2 linked regions of the Kluyveromyces lactis genome follow. The protein of the gene in region 2 interacts with the protein of the main gene of each other region in a pairwise test. Links are inferred from orthologs where the notes say so. Each region holds a gene or a part of one and is shown on either strand. Other genes may lie near its edges.

Region 1 (3,934 bases), about 140 kb from region 2:
TTTGTGAAAACACTGAAAAAGAAATTAAATTTCACACACCCACCTAACTTTAAGCTATGTAAACTGTGTACCGAGAAAACTACGGAGGGAAATTCTCAGGTGATAGGAAGGAACGGAGATAGAGCAACAAGGTAATCTATGCAAGGAGCAATAGCTCTTACTTACACAGATGATCAAATTGTGTTTTACTAGCCGCAATATCGTAGCCGTTTTATCCTGCTAATAGAATTGTGTCTCTGCTGCTCTTTTCCCGTACCAACCCGTATTTACCCTCACTATGTTTCTTTTTCATTTTTCCTTTCCAGTTTTTTGTAAAAAAAAGAAAAGCACAGGAAAATGGAAAAGAAACATGGAAAAGGAAACTTTAATCCGTATTTCACGAAACAGTAAGAGCAAACTGGTAGGAGACAAGAAAGTTTTTTTGATATGCATAGGTCAGTCGGGAGATATTTATCGCACCTCCTGTTCTTGTCCTCGATAATTTGCGATGGGGTCTTGTCGATTCCCTAGTTTACGCTATCTATCAGATTTTCATCTCTGAAGATTAGATTACAAGCTCCTTATCTTGAAGGAAGAAAAAGACTTGGCAAACGCAGGTAACGACCTCAAGCAAAACACAATAATCAAACGGCGATCGGCAACCGGCGGTCGGCATTAGTACTGAAAGATCAGGTATAGGGAGAGCATCGGATGAGTGTTTACTTGCTGTGCTGGATTTTCAAACTGTCACTAGTGTGCTGTTTTTTCTCTTTACGATATGTATAATCATTCTTTAGATCAGCGAGCTTTTCTATCTGTGTGAGAGCATCTACGCGGTAACACTCCAGCAATAAAATGCGGGGTTGCTTACTGACTCGAGAAATGAGAATGTAGGCACTAATACTGATGGATAAATAAACATTTTTCCGCGGGTGATCGCAGAAACCGGAGGAAAGCAAGAAAAGAAAAAAGCGAACAACACGAGGGAACACAAATCACGTGCTTCGTATCACGTGCAGTTTGTACTGTGGCTGATGTAATGTCTGTATCCGGGTAATTTTCTTGTCCGGGTAATAGACGTTCCACAGTTTGGTGATTACTTTTTTCTTCTTCTTTTCCCTTTCCTCATTTTTTTCCCGACTTTTGATGAAATTGCACGAGACCTGAGCTGAAGAATAATACAAACTAAAGTATTTTCAATCATCGTCTACTGTTGATATCAACAGCATCGAGTGAAAGGCCACATTCAAATTTGAGCCTTAGTTCCAGGGAATAACGACAGTGAATCTTTATTTATCGAGCCGGCTTCTCTCATTCTTTCCGCTATGAATAGTGGAACTTCCAATAATCTTAAGCGCACTGGTAGCAGCAGTAGCGGTGTTGGTGCAAGGAATATGGATAATCATATTCGAAATCCTAATGATAGTCATCCCAGTCAAGGTATGGACAACATTTGGGGGAACAGTCCGGAATTCTCGACACATTCTCCATCTACCGCATCGAATCACTTACATTCGTTGATTAACCCCCCTGCTGATGTGAATAATGATGTTACCCCTAGCATTCTTTTGGAACAACTAGCGTTTGTTGATAATTTTATTACTGATTTTAACTCTGACTTTGGACCCAATGTGACAAATTCTTTTTACAACAATGAGGGACCTCATGGTGACACTGTAAATTCATTTAGTGGGATGCCCTTGAATCATCAAGTTGGTGGTTTAAGTGCAGATAATCAGCTCGCGATGGATGAACGTTTAGCGGCGGAATTGAGTGTTTTCGCAGATGAGACTTTTATTTTCCCAGATGAAGACAAAGCTGATAGACATGATAGCGATGACAACGGCGACCATTACAACAGCAACCATAACTTCGGATTGAACAACAATGCTAATCCTAGTACTAATGATAATAACATCGACAATAACAATAATAATAACAGTGGTAACAATCATAATAGTAATAATAACAATAATAATAATAATAATAATAATAATAATAATAATAACAGAAACTCTTCGGAAAAGAGAAACTTGTTCGATAGAAAATCAAACCTGCTGGGAAACCAGTATGATCATACGCGGCAACGGTTTTCGAGGAAAAGGTCATCGACACAGAATTCTCCGATCCCCGATCATGGAGGATTTACACACTTTGATGTTCAAGACCAATCCAATAGTCATAATACAGGCAACCTAAATGGCACAAGTGCAAACCGCCAACGAGATATGCCGTTTGCCACTTCCCCACTAACAAATTTATTAGCCGCATATGATTTAACTTCAATGTCATATCCGTCCAATACCACTGTATCGTCTGCCTCTTCAATCGTCAACACAGCTAGTAACCATGGTAATAATCATGTCAATAGCAACGAAAATCCGTATCGTCCAAGTACGGCTGCAACATCAGGATTTGAATCAAATATACAGATGCCAGACTACTCTACAATACAAACTGCGACTTTGGTATCATTGTTGCCTATCATTAATGTTCCCAGAGGTGCTTACCAGTCTTTGCGTAATGTTGGCTTTAAACCAGAACAGATTGACGCCATAGCTGCTATTATGGCTTATTATGAAAGAGAAAGAGAAAAGTTTGATCCTCCTGTGAGGAAGCCAACTAATTTAAATAATCACTCTACAAATAGACCACCATCGTCAGCTTCCCATCTGGGCTCATCGATAGATGTGAATTCGCAAAATCAACTGGTTCCTGAACCTCAAGAACATATTCAAAGCTCCGTTGGCATGCTATTGGATTTTTTGCATGAAAAACCTGAGCCATCTCCTCAATCAAGTGTCCATAAACCTAATCCAAAAAGAGCCAAAAAAACTCCAGTGGAAAAAGAGTCTAGAGTTATTGATACATATATGAAAAACTCACCGAAAGTGCACCACGGCTCAATTTCTAACAACATAAAGAAAGAAAGCGAAGAGAATTCTGCAAAGCAAACACTGGATGATGGTATCAGTAAAACACCAAAATCAGTTGTCAGGAAACTAGAATCAGCTTCCTCTCTTAGGAAGGATGTAACGTCTGCTAAATTGAAGGAAGAGGTGAGACAATCGGAAGAACTTCTCAATGACAAGGAAAATGCTGCTAAGAGTCTCGATGAGAAGATAAACGAAAAAAAGCATAATACTGATTCTGATAAAAACAATTCCTCCAGTGATGGTGTAGAATCGTCGTCCACTTCCTCAACCCTTTCTTCAAGACCCAAACTGCCGAACTTGGATCAAACTAAAAAACTTAAAGAGAAAGAAATGGAAACTTGGGTCCAAGATCTTTCACAGTTAGCTTGTGACTTGAAGCAAAGAATCAATACCCTTGAAATGGAAAACAGACTTCTCAAAAATCTTGTCATTGAACGTGGAGATCTCAAGAATGTTGAGTCTTATGAACTATCCAAAAATAACTCCTCCGAAAGCACTAAAAAGGATACTGACAAGTAAGCTATGATTAATAATTAGTTGTAACCTCTAAGTCGGACATATTTACCTGATGATGCGTGTTCTCTAAAACGTAACGTAACTTTCATCCAAGTATAAGGCCAGAGATAAATTTTGTATTAATATATAGTTACATTCCTCGTAGAATCTAACCCTATGATAGAATCGCGATAAGAGTTATTAGAGTGATAACAACAATAGCTACTAGAAGTATTGTACCACATCTGTTCTTTTTCCTTTGATATTCATTTGCTTTGTGAAGTTCTTTGTTCGCCTTTTGCAAATTATTAGATAATCCTGTCACATTTTCGCCAATTGTGTCAACTTGTTCGCCCTGTTCCTGTACCAGACTTCCTAGTTGTTTGAAGATGGCATTGACCTCTTGCACAGCAGAGTGGATTTTTGATATGTCCTGGGATCTTTCATGTTGAATTATCGTGTGAAAATCTAACTCATCCTGATTCAACAAAGGCTCTTGCTGTTGGGTAGACAAAAGTAACGGA
Region 2 (2,919 bases):
CTGTTGACACAGTAGGGCAAAATGTTGAAGGTAAGAAAGCACTTGCTGTAGAATCTTTTGCAAAAGCCCTAAGACAATTGCCTACTATTCTTGCGGACAACGCTGGTTTCGATAGTAGTGAATTGATCACAAAGTTAAGATCTTCGATTTACAACGGCATGAGTACATCAGGTTTGGATTTGGATAACGGCACCATTGCTGACATGAGAGAACTAGGGATCGTGGAAAGTTATAAATTGAAAAGAGCTGTAGTAACCTCAGCCAGCGAAGCAGCCGAAGTCCTCTTGAGAGTGGATAATATTATCAGGGCTAAACCAAGAACAGCCGATAGACAGCACGGTCATATGTAAATTAATTAAATTAGTACTAAGCAATCACCACAAACGTTTAAATTTCGTTCTAATATCCAAAAAGTTAAGCTAAGAAGTGAATTATCATTATACATGAAACAACGTAGTTCAAAATTTACTCCAGAAAGTATATAGGGTAGGTCAATAACCTCAGTAAAGAGATTGCACCTCTATCTTCAAATTATGCAGTTCCGACTTCTTTGTTTTCAGGTACTCCTCCAACATTTGTACTTGCTGCTCAATACTCTCTATATCATCCCTCAAACCTCCAACATCAACGCTTTCTGAAGAAGTATTGGAATTATTGACAAGGTTTTTTTGGTATTCCAAGAACTGTTCTAACTGTTGTTTTACTAATTTCATTCTATCATTTGAGTCATTATGAGAGGTGGATTGTTGCTGTGCTGACGATAATTCAGAGTCAATATTTGCCAATTCCCTTTGAAGTCTGACTACTTCCCAATCAGTTCCCTGAGTAACAGAAAAATCAGTACCACCACGTTTTGGTATTTGGTAAGATGAAGAGTTAGATGTGGATAGTGTTGGCCTTCTTACTTCGCTCTGCTTGGAAGACAAATCCGTGGAAACTCTAGTCTTTGTAAAAGTTTCTTTCAATGCTGAAGGTAAATGTGATGGTATTGGGCAAGCATAGTCGTTCACTTGTCTCAGAATATGAATAAAGTATAGTGCTGGATCCTTATCTATGGAAGTGTCAAGCTTAGGATTAACCAAACGCCACGTTTTTTCTAAATCTTGAGATGATAGATTGATATACTTCGATCTAACGGCGGAGGATAGTGAAACATAAGATACACTATTGTCTCTAGAGGTTATGGCTGATTCATAAATTGATTCGTATTGTGACTTATCATCTCTTGATATATACCAATCAACTTCTTTTTGATAATCGTCTACAGCTGGCGAAGATGTCGGAACATTGACCACAGAACTTGTTTCTGCTGTTCCGCTACTACGTTCAGTTTTTCTTTGTTTGACTAATTCGGCTTTTGAACCGGGAATCAACCAATCTGGCAATTCATCTGGTACAGAATCTATGTTTTTATTAACCATGTCAAATATCATTCTCATACAAATCACAAACTCTTCAAAATCTAGTTGATCATCATCATCGATATCGGCCAAAAACCATATTTTGTTAAGTATCGAGGTGTCCAATTTAGAATTGAAAAGGATAGGCAGTACTTGATCATGGGTCAACTTATTTTCCACCGGTTTCAATCCGGAGAAAATTTGCCAATACTTTTTGATCTCAAATTGTTCAAGCTTTGGCATCTTAAATTGGTATTTGAATTATCTGTGGAGTCAAGCGCGATTAAAATAGAGGTCAGATATCAAATTAACACTGAGCTCAAACGTAATGTTTTCTTTGAAGTATGCCTGCGTTACTCACAATCAGTCAAAGAGACAGGAACAAATAAAACAAGAATATGTTATACCTGCTATCGCTCTAGCGTGTTCTTCGGTTTGAATCGTTTGGAACCTTATCTACTTCAATAAATTGCAATTTAAACCTTTTGGATAGTTCATCGTATTGATCTTAACAGTAATATCACCCATTTCAGTGCTGAAAGAAAATCAAAATTCCATTGACCTACATTACAAAAAGGGGAAGTCACGTTATACGTAACACACGTGACCTTGAATAATAGTCAAACAACCCCTCACGTGACAAGAATTTGTATCTGTTTTTTTTATATCTTTTTGGTGGATGCTACTGGTTTACCCGGTGTTCGCGTTATATCCTATTTTGGTAACACATTTAGAGAAATCGCGAAATGTTTTAAGGATGCCAAAAGAAGAATTATAAGTGAATCTTCAGAACTTTGAGGTAGGTGAGAATTTGGGGGACCAGAAGTAGAATGTGAGATGAAAAAAGCTAAGACAGGGTTGTAGAGGATTTCGATTGTTTCCAACTGGCCCGTTAGTTTACTGAGAAGTAATACCAAAATATAATAATGGTTTTTCCTGTCTTGCAACTGTGATATTTTTGGTGTCTTTCAATTAATATTCATATATTTCACGAGATGAGGGCTCCCGCCTTAAATAAAACAAGATGTATTCTCAGGGCCCATTCGTTTCTTCCTCATCTTAACGGTTCTGCAATCCAGTAACGCTTTTACGTTATACTATCCATTAACTTTTGAGATAGAAGGAGCAGCACTAACTGTCCGATCGCTACGTTGTTCATTGATCCATTCATTCACTCCTTGACAGCCTTCATCTGAAAGCAATAGCAGAGAGAGAATTAAGAGCTCAAGAAACGCATACAAGGAAAATTGGAACTAAGTTTACTCATAGTTGTTCAACTGGACTTTAGTTTTTAATTTGGAATAAGAGAAATTACACGAACGGAAATTAGTTCATTATACAGGGTTTAGGGTTATGAAGACTGAGTTGCTGTTGTCTTCGGCGCTGTCACTTCTCTTTGCCGTCGCATCAGCTTCTGTATACGAAGCTTATCCTATTAACAAACAGCTTCCACCAATTGCAAGAGTTGACGAGGATTTCCAGTTTAAAATCTCTAATGACACCTTTAAATCAACTAACG

The links.
Region 1: the proteins of END3 (region 2) and MET4 interact in a two-hybrid assay, tested with the Saccharomyces cerevisiae proteins (2 studies listed by BioGRID). The link is inferred for Kluyveromyces lactis from reciprocal best matches to the Saccharomyces cerevisiae genes END3 and MET4.

Annotation. Positions count from the first base shown.
Region 1 is NC_006039.1:1,125,435-1,129,368, forward strand, and holds MET4 (Met4p), read left to right. Parts: upstream 1-1,304; coding exon 1,305-3,434; downstream 3,435-3,934. Other genes in the region: SNAP receptor VAM3, read right to left, coding at 3,586-3,934. UniProt on the Saccharomyces cerevisiae protein: Positive trans-acting factor capable of stimulating the transcription of the MET genes from the methionine biosynthetic pathway. MET4, MET28 and CBF1 are required for full induction of MET25 and MET16 gene transcription.
Region 2 is NC_006039.1:982,841-985,759, reverse strand, and holds END3 (End3p), read right to left. Parts: upstream 1,644-2,919; coding exon 501-1,643; downstream 1-500. Other genes in the region: chaperonin-containing T-complex subunit CCT2, read left to right, coding at 1-350; AXL2 (Axl2p), read left to right, coding at 2,754-2,919. UniProt on the Saccharomyces cerevisiae protein: Component of the PAN1 actin cytoskeleton-regulatory complex required for the internalization of endosomes during actin-coupled endocytosis. The complex links the site of endocytosis to the cell membrane-associated actin cytoskeleton.